2 linked regions of the Lepisosteus oculatus genome follow. The protein of the gene in region 1 purifies or fractionates together with the protein of each later gene. This does not show direct contact. Links are inferred from orthologs where the notes say so. Each region holds a gene or a part of one and is shown on either strand. Other genes may lie near its edges.

The links. The genes of interacting proteins can lie anywhere in the genome.
Region 2: the proteins of cd9b (region 1) and integrin beta-1 purify together in Homo sapiens (co-immunoprecipitation; 5 studies listed by BioGRID and IntAct, with this or other methods). This does not show direct contact. The link is inferred for Lepisosteus oculatus from reciprocal best matches to the Homo sapiens genes CD9 and ITGB1.

The regions. Positions count from the first base shown.
Region 1 is NC_090702.1:4,148,018-4,155,260, forward strand, and holds the start of cd9b (CD9 antigen), read left to right. Parts: upstream 1-4,208; 5' UTR 4,209-4,343; coding exon 4,344-4,409; intron 4,410-7,243. UniProt on the Homo sapiens protein: Integral membrane protein associated with integrins, which regulates different processes, such as sperm-egg fusion, platelet activation and aggregation, and cell adhesion.
Region 2 is NC_090701.1:39,147,113-39,154,824, forward strand, and holds the start of integrin beta-1, read left to right. Parts: upstream 1-4,632; 5' UTR 4,633-4,988; coding exon 4,989-5,000; intron 5,001-5,258; exon of another isoform or gene 5,259-5,353; intron 5,354-7,712.

The sequences.
Region 1 (7,243 bases):
CCTTATGTTATTTTTTTTATATTAGAATCAGGTTTTTTTTTTTCCCTTACAAAAGGAGGACTTGTCAGCTGCCCAAGCTGTTTCCAGGAACAAACATTCTTTTATGCAACATTAAATTAGTTTTTTTTTCCCCACAGAGCTTTTCACTAAATCATACATTTGTATGCTCGCAATATAAATGCTCTGCTTCAGGAACTTAAACAAGCTAAATCCTTATCCAGTCAAAGCTATTATCATCTGGCCTACCTTTAAATGTGACAGGATGATTTAATGCACACATGAGCCTTGTATTTGTGTCCAGCTTGTACAGTATGTCATCCAGGAGGTTTGATGGGAGATGTAGTCTTAGAATTTCCTTTTGCTGTTCCTTCAATAACCAGAACTCTCCTTTTTTCTTTCATTATTCAGGGAGGCGACAATGAAGTCCACAATATGTAGGGTCTTAGAGAAAAGCTATACAGTATATGATGTTTCATCCTATTGTGCCATCTTTAAGATTAACAACAATTAAAAAATCCAGGACTTCAGAAGAATGCACTTCTGATGGGGTTTTGTTAATGTGCATCTGGAGGAGGTCACCATACACGTTGCACATTCTGAACAATTTTGTACATTTTGAACCAGGTAGCTGATATTAATCACTGAGCATTATCCAAGGACACCCAGAAATGTCAATCTTCATTTATTTCTGCAGCTTTGTATCTGGTTTTCCATTGGAATGTGCTGCTTTAAACATCTTTTGTGCTGGCACTGTCTTAAGCTGGTAATGGAGAGGAGAATCTGAACTCTTTTGTTCTACGAATTGAAAGAGCCTTTGTTTTGTTTTGTCATGCTTTTTTGTCAAATTCTGATGTGCTGTTTAGATGCTGCACAGAAGACACAGCATCTTCCCCTTCTGAAAGATTAAAAAAATCCCTTAGCATCTGTAAAATCAATTTATTTTGCACACAGTTATGTGCTAACAATTTTCTTTAACTCATTATCAAATCTTCGTAGTTATTCCACATCAATTGGTACCTTAAACTTCATATTTACTGTACATGGGGGAAAGTATTTCTGATATGAATGTGTTGCTAGTCAATGGCATTTAAAACAAAAGCTAAAAATGTCAAACAAACCTGATATAAGGTTGTTTTAAATGAGGGGGGAGGAGTAGGCATCAGGTGGAAGATTCCACATCCTTTATTTTTCCTTCAAGACTTTAATAATAATCAATTTGGCTGATAATGTCATTCAAAGCAAATTGCATTTGTACCCACCTGTACAGCAGGAATTGTTGTTTCCTGGTGAAATACAGGTCAATAATCTTGTTCAAGAATAAATTAGTTCTGCTCTACCCAGGATTTTAACCCCAGACTTTCCCTTTCTGAATCCAGAGCCCCAAATCAGAGGAGATCCTTACAGTGGTGTCCCATTACTGACCTCTTTAATACTGCAAAGGCTAAATCATTATTGTGACACCTCTCTGCTTTAACCTGCCAATCGCAGCACTTTCTGTTTGCAGAAGAATGTCTGTACAGATGTTAGACAACTTGATGGAATGCCAGCAACTGGGAGGGCAGTACCAAACTGCGATAAAGATATCTCAGTACGGGGTGGAAACAATGGACTCCATTCTTCCAAGTGGCACAGCTCAAAGCACTACAGGTCTCGCTAATATGTGCAGTTATGCCTCAATTCAAAACTTTGGTGATTCACAGTCACATTTCTTCACCCCAGGAAGTTTTACAATCCCACATACCAGTTTTTATGGGGCAATAATTTCTTCATAAATACATATTTTCCCATATACTTTTTTCTGGTCTTTTATTAATAATAATAATTCCTTACACTTAGTGCTTTTCTGGACACTAAGAGAGCTTTACAGGTAATGGGGAATCCCACTACCACCACCAGTGTGCAGCCCCACCTTGATGATGCTCCAGTCCTCTCCCCACCCTAGCTCTCAGTGGGGAGGAGAGCAGATTGATGAAGCCAGTTCAGAGATGGGGATTATTATTAGGAGGCCTTTATTGGTAAATGCCAATGGGAAATTTGGTCAGGACGCCAGGGTAACACCCCTACTGTTTTCGAAAAATGCCCTGGGATTTCTAATAATCACAGAGAGTCAGGACCTTGGTTTTGTTTCTCATCCGAAGGATGGTGACTTTCTGCAGAATATTGTGCCCCGTCACTACACTGGGACATTACACGCAGACCGCAGGATGAGAGCCTTAGTTTTTCCCAGGGGTCTCCCATCTAGGTACTAGGCGCACACCTGCTTGCCTTTTGTGGGTTATCAGTTGTGATTTACAGGGTGATATGGCTGCTAGCCATATTTTTGTATATACAATACAAATATTTGTAAAGTATAGTTTTGTGTGGTTCATAGGTTATTGGTAAACATATCCCTTCATTCTCCTTCCTAAGATTATCACCCAACAATACCATAATCCAATGAGGGCTGTATTCTTTGTCTTGTGAATTGAATGTCTTGTGTAACCAACTGGAAAATACAATATATACTGATGGAAAAAAGAAATGCACCACCTCCTCCTCCACACTCTGGCCCTCCCATCTACGTGGAACAGGCTGAAGAGCGACTCATCCATGAAGAGGACCTGATGCCACTGCTGACAAGTCCATCGCAGCCTCTGTCTGGCCCAAGCCAGTCAGATGCGACGCCTAGGAGGTGTGAGCAGAGGGCCTCTGACAGGTCGCCTTGCTCCAAGACCAGGAGCATGGAGCCTTACTGTCCTGTCACTGATGCGGGCATTGTGTCTGCCAGTAGTTTCAGAAGCAGTATGGGTGGCAGATCTGAAACGATCTCTCAGATGGACCAGTCTGATTTGTCGGTCCTGCTCTGGTGTGGTCACTCGAGGGCGACCGGATCTTGGACAGTCATCTGTCCTCCAGGTCACCTGAGACCTTCCCTGCAGTTGGGACACAGTGGAGCAGCTTACTCCATAGTGTCTGGCAATGGTGACACATGACATGCCAGCCTGCAGCATGCCAATGTCCCTCTCCCTTGCTTCTGGTGACATTCGAGGCATTATGGAATGCACAGAAAACTGACTAAGTGTGGCCTTTTTCTTGTAGTGACCTAAGCTTTGAATCAAGGCCTTTTTAAAAGGTGACCTGATCAGGCATTGATCCACCTGGCCCTCGTTGGGTAAAAGTGCACCTAACGAGCTTTCATGTGATTGGCAATTTGCAATGCCTCACTGCAAAAGCTGTATTGCTGGTCAGAAGGCTTAAAACAAATTGACAACTTTTTGTGAAAGTACATACTATAGTATTCTCATTCCAGAAAATATTATGTTTCTTTTTTCCATCACTATATATAATTTAGAAAACAAAACGGGTTAATTGTTTAATTATATCCATCAGATTGGAACAAAAGAAGACAAGTTCACCAGAACCTGACTTTGAGAACCCTGCCTTAAAGAAAAGTTTAGGTACAGTATACAGTATAATCATGTCTTGCGAAAAGGAAGATAAACATTATTATTGTATCACTATAATTCTTCTAAGTAAAGGCCATTTTGGAAGGGACAATTCAAGACCAATTTCATCACATGGAGTACAAATCACTCTAAGAAATCTCCCCTTATTCTCTGCTTCAGCAGTAAGGCAGTACTCGAGACCAGACATGAAAAACTGCTTTCAGCTAAACAGCCACAGTACCGATCTGTGAAATCCTTCTTAGTGACCCCTAAAAAGCTCTTAACTACGTTTTCCGTCCTTTAAATTGTATCTTTACGCAGAGTTCCTCTGGTCGTAATATATTTTCGGACAGATTAACCGTGGAGTAATATTCAAACACCGTAAAGTCCATCTTTGCTTTAGTAAATGACAATCGAGCCGCATACTGTACAGATTTTACAACTATGCCTTGTCATCCCCAGTTTTGCGGAAAGATACAGTAAATGTACAGGAGACATTATTAAAGTATTCTTACAAGAGCGGAAAAGGGGGTTATGAGTTTAGGAAAAGCTCAGGCTGAACAGATGTAGTCCTTCAACACTGTCAAGACACTGAAGAACCGTTCGTCACAGAGAAAACAGTGGGCAGAACAGAAAAATAAAAGAACTTCTAACTCCTTTTTGTTCTTTGTTTTGTTTATTTCGAGAGAAATGCAATTAAAAGAAGAGGAGATAAAACGTGGGAGGCAAAAAAAAACTCGCATCGACAGCTCATTGGTCTGAGTCGAAATTCAGCTGCCTGGAGCACGCAGCGTGAGCGAGCGACGGACTAGAAAAAGCAAAACCGCAAAGAAGTTTTCTGCGCTCGAAACAAACGCTCGGCGAACTGTGTGCGTCCTGCTCTTTATGTGAAAGTTACCGGTGGAAACATCCTTAAAAATGCCAGTGGCAGGCGGAGCTAAATGCATCAAATATTTGCTGTTTGTCTTCAATTTCATTTTCTGGGTAAGTTGCCGGTTTGCTGATCTTTGGATGGAATGGAGTTAAGTTTTTCGGACTGTCCGCTCAGACAGGTCATCATACTGTAGATCTGATGGACTGGGGACGATAAGAAGCTCGCTGTTGGCACACATGGCTCTTTCTGTGTTTAGAGGAAAAACAGCAACCGCATACAAGAAGTGAGATCTGAGAGTCGCGAAAAAGATTCACACCGAATTTAGGAAAGCATCTGTGCTTATTTTGATATAGCGCTGTATTATTTTGTGTGTCTGTAAGTGAAGAGGCGTAACTTTTAAATACCTTACTGGGGACGCATAAAATGTACGCCACTGAAACTCTCATATTTAAATCGTCATTTTCCCGGAGATAGTTTTTGAACGGACGCAGTTCTTTTGTTGAAGTGAAAATGCTACAGTAAATCAGGCGGCTCCGTTATCTGGGATTAGGAGCTTGTCGCCTTCCTGTCATTTTGATCAGTAATGTGCGACACTGTGGGTTTTTTTTTAATTCCTGTTTGGCACAGAATAGTGATCGTGTGCAGTGTTCATTTCAGTGTGAATTTTTACCGTCGATTTGCAGATAGATACTGTACATCGGAGGAGGCCGAAAAGATGGGGAAATGGTGAAGTTCTGTAAAGCGTATTTTCATTAATTCGAAGGTGTTGGATTAGCATATCTCTGTAGCCATCATATCCTCTTTATTTCGTGCAGTAGTTAGTCTTATTTATAAGGCGAAATCCCTTCTCCCATTGAATGCATTTACAATACACTGTTTATCAGATAATAAAGAAACAAGTCCAGACGCCTGCTATACGATTGCTTTTAATCTGTAGGACTATAAATAGAAATTGCTAATCCCTTGAACAAATTAAGATTACAAGGCCTTCATTACTGTTGGGTGTTTCCTGTAGACAGCCATACATCTGTAGTTAAGGAGTTAAATGTGTGGTTTGACAGTGATCAAAGGCAAACGTCTAAATTCCTTTTTTCTCTGTCCAATATTTAAGCATATTGTAATACTAAAAAAAACGTGTTTAATCATCAACAACGCCATCGTTTGTTTGTTTGTTTTTTGGTTTGAATTAATCAGAGCTGCCAAAAAGGTAAAATATCAACTTCCAACAGTCAACAACAAAATCTTCAGTCTACACATTTCTCCTGTTCCTGTTAAGACCCGTGACATGACCTTTCATAGACAGATTACTCCGAGTGCAAAAGATTAAAAAAACCGATGTGGTACTGTTTGCATTGAGATCTTTCAAGTTTCGAAACTGGCTTCTCTGTATGATTTATTACAAAGAAAACCAGACACAATACTGCTGTTTTTTTTTTTGTTACAACCTAAATTGCATTAAAAATGAGGTGTATTTATTAATAGCTTCCAAGACATGAATGATCATTCGTAATCCTGATCCAGTTTATTACTATAGAGCTGTTTATTACTTGGAGAGATTAAGCACTTTACCACAATTGTGTGTATAATTCAGCTTTGTTTTGCTTTTTTAAGTGTTTTCAGATATTGAAAGTTTAGAAAGGTTTCGAAATGAGCCCCAAGATATCATACTTGGTTTCAAAACATCCTTCACATAGACATCTAGAATTTGCACTGTTGGGTTCTTGCAAGAAATAAAAAACTGTTTTTTTCTTACTTGTTTACATCATTGTTTGGTCATCTACCGAGAATTGTTTGGACAGCTCTAGTGGAACCAAAAAAAAAAAACAGACAGAGCAGTTCTATTTGCAAGGTTTCTTTTGCCGATAATACACTGTGACCACAACCAAGTAAAGAGTGAAGAAAACACTGTTAAAATCTAATCAACCAAACAGTTAAATTACTCAATAAAAATAATAATTGAAGTAAACTATGTAACAGAACATTACCACAAAAAGACGATCTTGCCAACTAACCAGGAATGGTGCCTTTTGGTTTTTTACCATCCCATATTTCCTGTATATTACCATATATTCCTATGAAACTTCACCTGGATTTCTGGGCCCACTAAGTTAAAAGAGGACTGTTTCTGTTCAATCGATTTTTTGCACCTGGGTGTCCTTCTGCGTGGAGTTTGCATGTTCTTCCTGTGTTCTTGTGGGTTTTCTCCGGGTGCTCCGGTTTCTTCCCACAGTCCAAAGACATGCTGGTAGATTAATCGTGTTCTTGAAAAACTGGCCCTGGTATGTCTGGGTGTGTCTTGCGATGGACTGGCATCCCAACCACCCCAGTAACCTTCTAACGGACAACATGGGTGAGAAAACGGATGGGATGGTTTCCTTCCGATTTATACGATGGAATAAGTAAAAAATATGCCCCGTGCTGTAGAAGGAACCGCAGACCATCTGCTAGTTGCTCATCCCTCGGTTTTGCAAATCTAATTTTGCGTAAAGAGACTTATGAATCAAAGCACGAGATGCGGGAATCTCCCTTCGGCGGTTTGCTTAGTGTTGGAACTCACAGTGCACATACAGTGGGAAAAGGTCAAGGTTGTTGTGCAAGTTGAGTTCATTTCCTTTTTGGTGCCTTTTTAGTGCCTTTCAGGACTGGTCTCAGTGTTGCATCATATGGTGTCATGGGCTCCATTACTTAAGTGTTGTCCTTGCAATCGTGGCTGATTAGCCTTCTTCTAAAGAAGCTAGTGTTGGAATGAAGCAATGTACAGTTACTCACCAAGGGAAGTTGAGTGTTTGCTGGGCCAATCATGAAATCTCCAGATCAGATGCTCTCGGCTGGGCTACATAGAGTACAAACAGCATTGTTAAAAAGTGTACAAATGAGCACGCAAAAGGTTCTGCACGTGCCGTTTGAAGTCGGGCCGATTACGAAGCAGCACTGTGGCGTGCTT
Region 2 (7,712 bases), on another chromosome or scaffold:
GTCTACACTGAAATAGACACTGAAATATAAATCTAGCTATTGCTTGATGTCAGCTACAAAAACATCTTTCATGTCCTACTGTGAGTTCTAAAGCCCTAATTACTGTATGTCTGTTATTTATCTTTCCCTTCAATCATGTTACCTTGTTGAACATCTATTCTACTCATTCTGCAACTTGAGCGGAGCTGTAATTCTTATTTTCTTATTTCAAAAGGTTGTGTACTAACATTTGGTGTTAATATTACTCAGTCTCTACATAGAGAAATCTATGTATTTTACCTCTTCACTATAAAAAGGGTCAGAAAATGCCATTCATGGTTAAATTAAGTGGAAACGTAACAGTATCACATGTGCTTGGATGAACAAAATAATATATATTGATGGAAAAAAGAAACGCAACATTTTGTGGAATGAGAATACTAAAGTTATAGTTTATGTACTTTCACAAAAAGGTGTCAATTTGTTTTAAGCCCTCTGACCAGCAATACAGCTTGTGCAGTGAGGCGTTGCAACTTGCCAATCACACAAAAGCTCGTTAGGAGTATTTTTACCCAACGAGGTCCACGTGGAACAATGCCTGATCAGGTCACCTTGAAAAAGGCATTAATTCAAAGCTTAGGTCACTGCAAGAAAAAGGCCACACTTAGTCAGTTTTCTGTGCATTCAATAAAGCCTCGAATGTCACCAGAAGCAAGGGAGAGGGCCATTGGCATGCTGCAGGCAGGCATGTCATGTGCCAGCGTTGCCAGACACCATGGAGTAAGCCGCTCCACTGTGTCCCGACTGCAGAGAAGGTTTCAGCAGACCAGGAGGACAGATGACAGTCCAAGACCTGGTCGCCCTCGAGTGACCACGCCAGAGCAGGACCGATACATCAGACTGGTCCATCTGAGAGATTGTTTCAGATCTGCAAACCGTACTGCTGCTGAAACTGCCGGCAGACACAATGCCCGCATCAATGACAGGGCAGTGAGGCTCCATGCTGCTTAGATCAAGGCAACCTGTCAGAGGCCCTCCGCTCACACCTCCTAGACATCACACCCGACTGGCTTGGGCCAGACAGAGGCTGCAACGGACTTGTCAGCAGCGGCATCAGGTCCTCTTCATGGATGAGCCACTCTTCAGTCTGTTCCACGCAGACGGGAGGGCCAGAGTGTAGAGGAGGAGGTGTTGCATTTCTTTTTTCCATCAGTATATAGTTCTCTACTCTTAATTATCTGTACTGCACAATTTGAGTAAGCTACAGAGCCAGCATCTGAAATTCGTATTTTTCCGAGGTATGTTTTATACATGTGTAATATTGTGAAATGCCAATGTGTCTCCAATGTCAAGAGAAAACAAGGTACTATCCAAAAACTGCTCAGAGCAATAAACTATAATAATCTTATAAAAGCTTCTTCAACCTTCACTAGTAGAATTCAGGTGGGAGCTAAAGCTGTCTCATCAGACTATACTAATAGAATTCAGATAGCAGCTAGAAGTACTTCATCGGACCACACCAATGGAATCCAGCTGTACTGCAGCTGCTTTATCTGACAGCACAGTTAGAATTTGACAGAATTAGGGTAAGGTAAATAAACACAGCCCAGGTAGTCAAAGAACAGTTAACCTGGGCAACAAATGAACCACAGAAGACAAAAATAAAATGTAAACCACATGTAATATTACAAAAATGACATAACCAGATGTGGAATCATCATTATCATCAGCATTAAATTCCAGAAAAGTTCTGGTTTGTTGCTACTGATTACTTTTTAATGTTTTGCAACATGTGAAGTTGTGTTTGTAATGAGAAGAAAGGGATTCATTTGTGATGACATGCAACTCCTGTCACACTGACTTTGTGCCAGTTGTAAATAAGCAATGGAGACAATATACAGTAGTCTAGAAGGGTCAAACTGATCATAATGTGTTTTGAAGCATGCAATTGATTTCCACCCAAATTATATCACTATTAAAGTGTTCACACAAGAAAATGTTATTTGCTTGAAGATAATTCCATGCTAGCATGCTTCATACTAACAAGGGGGGCATCTATGATGTCCTGAGAGCTTGAAGTAAAAGTGTTAGGAAATACATCTGTACTGTATTACAAAAGCACAAAGAATTTGGTTTTAGGGGAGGAACAGAGGAATGAGACTGAGAACAGCAATTCAAAAGTATGTGCAGAACAAATAAAAGATTAGTCCACACTGATGAGTAGAAAGAAGAAACACAACATTTCAGCAGTTGAGCCTTCTCCAGCCTTCTCCTTCACACATGAAGAAGGCGAAACATGAAGATGAACCATTGTGTTTTGTCTGAATTAGTTCACTAACTAGAACTGAATTGAGATTACTGACATAATTGAGGAAAACTGGGGCTCCAAATACTGATCCCTGAGGTACTCCAATTGGAGCATTTACCAATTAGCTCTAATCTCTGTTTCCTGCCTATTCACCAGTTCTTACTCAAAGTACATGCATTACCTTGAATCTTTGTCATATGCAATTTAAGAATTTATCTTTTATGATCGTTTTCGACAACCTTCTGAAATTACAAATGGATGATACCATAAGCTCAGTTTCTATCCATTATTGCTGTTGCGCTTCATAAGAAAGGGTTTCTAAGAAAGCAACATCTTGTAAGTTAGTCTTTTGCATTCTGGAGAATGGACAATTTTCACCAGACTAAAAAAAAAGGTTGCTATATAAACAATTATGGGCGAGGCAGAAGTAGGAAGAACAAAGATATCAACATCAAATATCTCATTTTAAAGGAAACAGTGAAGAGGGATTTTTAAGATATGAATTGCAATTGAAACTTAAGATAAAGAATCACAACATTTCTAGAATGAGAACTGTTATACAAGTAGGTCAAAATGGAAAAACAAAATGCCTTAATGTTTACACTTCTTAGTTCCAAGAGTATACAGTATGAATGGAGAAATCTATTGTACTATGCTGGGTATAGAGTATACACTACAATATAGATGTTCTAAAGTTCATGTCTTGGGTTCTTTTCCCGGTGAATAAATAAGAAACACACTGACATACACAGTAAAGGAACAAGTAAAGGTTTATTCCACGCTGAAAAGAGAAGAAAAGAAACACAACAAAGCACTGCAAAAGGTAAAACGTATCACAATTTGTGACACTGTTTTGACTTACGAGAGTACGAGTAAAACATATTGTAACCAGAATAAATGAATATGGTTTTGGAGTCTTTTTTTTCTCTTTATGGAAGAATTGCTGCTTGCTAACATGATCTTATAAGATTTCAAAAGCGAAGCAGGGTTGGGTTTGCTCAGTATTAGGATGGAAAACGACCTCTAGGGAACAAAAGGACACTCATAGCCCGGTGGGCAGTTCTGTTCCTTGAGCAACAGAATTTCCTATCCAATGCTTCTGTGTGGCCACTGTGCTGAAGGAAGTATCATCCTTAGGGAGAGATGTTAAACTGAGCTCCTGACTTCTTGATCATTAAAGATCAAATGGCACACTGAGTGAGACTTCTTCATCAGCTGTGTAGTGGGACTGCTAACACATAATGGCTGCCATGAGTCAACATGAGCACTGCACTGCAGTGGTAGATGAAACTCTCCTCTCTCATCCTAGCGTTAATCCCGCATCAGCAGGGTCCGCTTGTTGGCACCCCTGTCTCCATTTGGTGGTTTGAACCTAATCTTTGAGCTGACGTTGCCGTTAAATGCGACCGAGAATACTCCAACCGGCGCGTCGCTCTGCCTGCCGTCAGAGGGGGGAGGAGAACAAAGTAATGTAGCCAATTCATAGAGGGGGATTATTAGGAGACATGGGGAATTTGGCCAGGACGCCGGGGTTACACCCCTACTCTTCTCGAGAAACACCCTGGGATTTTTAATGACCACAGAGAGTAAGGACCTCGGTTTTACATCTCAACCGAAAGACGGCGCTTATTTACAGTATAGTGTCCCCGTCACTATACTGGGGCATTAGGACCCATATGGACTGCAGGGTGAGCGCCCCCTGCTGGCCTCGCAGTGGTAGATTAAACTGTTGCCCTCAAATATGTAAACATAGATAATACTTTATTAATCCCATAGGAAAATTGATGAAATTGATTAAACATACTCTTTTGGGAAAAAACACATACAAAAGTAAGGAGTTCTTATTAGAAAACGTGTTTGCTTTGAATTACAACAAAACCTATATTTCCAAGAATATTAAGAAGTGCAAGATTGGTATACAGCATGGTGTGTCATATTCCGATTGATCACTCTCACTGTTGCTTTATCTTTTATTTGTTGCTTTATTGGTTTGGAGGACCAAGAAAAATCGCAAAAAATACCCAATGCAGAGTGATTAAATAAAGAAGTTAACATAATACAATAACAGATACAACACTAGGCACAGCAATTTATACGGTAACCGGATAGTGAATCTATTATTTTCACTTCATATTTTCAATCAGAATCATACCATAATGATGTAAGAGCAACTGAACTGAGGTTATGCGCATTTACAGCTACAATGAAATGCAGAATTTTGGCTGTTACATGCGCGTACCCAGATTTCCGAGTTTTCCCAAGGACAAACCTAGCGGAGCTCATAGCGAATGCGTACAGGTCGAGCTTGTCCAACGATGACGTGTTCGGTATTTCCTGTGGGGGCGGGTCGAAATACAGAGGATGGCCTCCTCTCTTTCTTGTAATCGTGGGAGGGGGTTAGCACGGCTTTAAGGTCATTTTTCATCGTGTGGGGATTTTGTAACTTTTTTAAAAAATACAGTTTTCTTAATAACCAGATCGTGTTGTTGGGCGTAGGTAAAGAGTCTTTTCGTCTGAAGGGTGTAAAATGGAATAAGAAGACAAAGGGGACACATTTTTTGTTTGTTTGAGAAAAGTAGAGAACTAAAGCTTGTTTTTTTGTAGTAAAGGGGAGAGATCAGCTGGATATTTTTGAAAGAAGTGCGAAGGACCATCGATTCCACATATGCTGCATTAAAAACGAATGGTTTAGGTTCGTTCAATGCGTTTTAAGGTAAGGAGGTGTCAATGTCTGCTTAAAGTGCTTGTATGGATATGAGTTTTCGTCTTGTAAACTCGTAAGCCAGTGATGCATACCTGGTGTGTTATATACATATTTGCCGTGTGAATGAAAATGTCATGGTGGGTTTTATGCGGGGCTTTGTGTTGAACTCGGGCGCATGTCTGCACAAATCTTCTTGCCCTGAAGTCCTGGAATGTGATTTGTATATTTTGCGGTGGGGGTGGGCGGGTGGAAGAGCCGTAAACGCCGATTCTACGGTGGTTAAAAGTATTGTGGGATAAAACTGTGTCGTTAGTGCAATATTGCAGCTTTCCCCCCTGTGTTGTATCGACTGTCTGTATGGGGTGAGTACATCCGCTATCCGGTATCGGGGAGGCGCTGGCCCGGGCCCGCATTCCCGGCGGAGAACAGCAGGGAGAGACCAAGTCTTTCTTCGGGAGCCGATCCCCGGATAACGCCACAAAAAAAAAAAAAAGACGACAGACTGGCTTCTCGCCTCGATTCACTTCATGTTTGTAAACCCCATCAAGTGTTTTCCGCGAAGTATACGAATGAAAGATCTTGACCTGCCCTGCAGTAATAAGTTTCCAGAGGGAAACTGGGATGTGTGTTTTACATTTGCCCCTATGGACAGGGTTTTCTTTTTTTCCCCTCAAACTTGTGAAATGTCCTTTTACAGGCGTTGCTTGTTTCCCCCTCTTTTTGCGAATACATCTCGAATTAGTAAATGGTTGAAATGCAGCGTTTTACTACGTTTTTACGCGTTTTTTCTGAAAGTAATAGCCTCTGGCTACAGCTAATTTAGGGAGTGCCTCGTTAGCCAGCAACAGTGCTCCGATTGAGGTTTGAGCTTAGCTCTGCGGCTATTTTTTCAAACCTCTTATTTAGGCGATGCCAGGCGGCTGGGAGAGCACAAAGGAGATGGCGCGTCCGGACGGCCCAAGGAGCAGGCTCTCGAGTTATTCTTGGCACTTAAAGCACTGACAAATAAGGCGAGCTGACTGTTCCGGGGGGGAAAAACACTCTCGGGAACGTACCCGTTTGAGGATACTCGAACGTGGCATTTTCGGTTTTTAATTTTAAGGGAGCGTTAGACGGAGAGGCTGGATTTTTGTATCCCACGTTTAACTCGACGCTCGGAATTTTCTGCCTTAAAAAAAGTAGAAACGCTCGCCGTAAAAGTGGTTAGATCTCACCTTTTTTATTTCGGCAGACTGACCTCATTGCGAAAACAAACGCGGTGGTTAGGAAGACATGCGGCTTAGTTAGACCACTTCCTTATCGCTGGGGTCTCAGGATCAGGGGTTTCAGTAGCTCTAAACTTCTTACTGTAGTCTTGCTGTATGTAGCACCGGTTTTGCTCCATAGAAGTCTGACCATGTGGTCAATTTTCACTTTCTCCATACCACTCAGTTAAGCTTTGTCTTCCTGAAGTTGAGGTGGAATGATCTTTGCCTTATCAGATGTGCAGAATACACATAAACCAAAGATACTTTAGTTATTTTGGTTTACTGTAAAAAAACTTTGGAACAATGACTGCCTGGGTCTTTGGCCTTAGAGGTGTAATGTCCATTGTATATACGCTTCAAAAATGGGCTCTCTTGTTTTTAAATATGACACTTTTTTCATGTTTCTGAACTCGGTATTTAATTAGGTGTTATAATATGTAATTTATCATGGCACATAGAAACACCTGGTAATCATTTAGGTAGTAGGCCGAAGATCTTCTCACTCCTGACCATAATTTGTTTTGTAATCTGGAAGCCATTTGGCCCCTCTTGCTTGTTTGGTAGTGAGTAGCTAATTTATGTGAGGGTTCTTGATATTGGCTTTAAAAGCCCGACAGGGTAGCTTTTTTTAGACTCTCACAAGCCTTGTTGTCTTATGCTGCAACATGGCCTTTCTCACAGGTTAAATTGTGTTGTTTCTGTCGTTGTTTAAATTATATACATAAGCACTGTACACTGTCGGTGTAATTCCCGACAGGATAAACTGCCGCACCGTGGCTAAGGTATTGATGTCTTTTTCCCAGCAGTTGGTTGGTTAACGAGAGTACCCGGTGATCACCTCAGGGCTAACATATTTGGGCGCCGGATGCTTGTGGTTGCAGCCACTGTGCATGAAACTGTGCCAGGCTAGGTGTGCCCCCTTGCTTATTCATTTCCAAAGTACAGCATAGCTCAAGGGTGTGTTACTCTATATGTTGCAGTAAGGCGCATCTGTAAATGATTAGCAGAACTGCGAGCTACAAGCATTTATCAAGTATCTGCAGTGCTATTTCCGAATATAAATATTGTCGCCATGTGGTTATCTTTCTCAGGAGAACATAAATAATTCATATGCTGTAGGAACAGTCATTTTCCGCAATACATTTTTTGTCCTCTGCGTCCAGACTGATATTTAGTCATATCCTAGTCCGCCTTGTTTACTGTTTGAGTGAAAGATTGAATTTATTTCCTCTTTAATGTTTATTATATATTTTTTCGGCTGACTTCTTTAAATGAAACTATTAAAAGGCAGTCTTCTGTTTTACCATTTTTGACACAATATCTTGAAGGGCATTGGTTGTCGTGAGACAGACTTTTCATAGTGCCTTTAACACAGTGAAGAAAGCAGACATTTCTTATGTTTATCTTTTGATTAGAAAGAAGGATTTAGGGGACTATGAAAGGTTATGATTTCTGTAGTAAGAAATGGAATGGT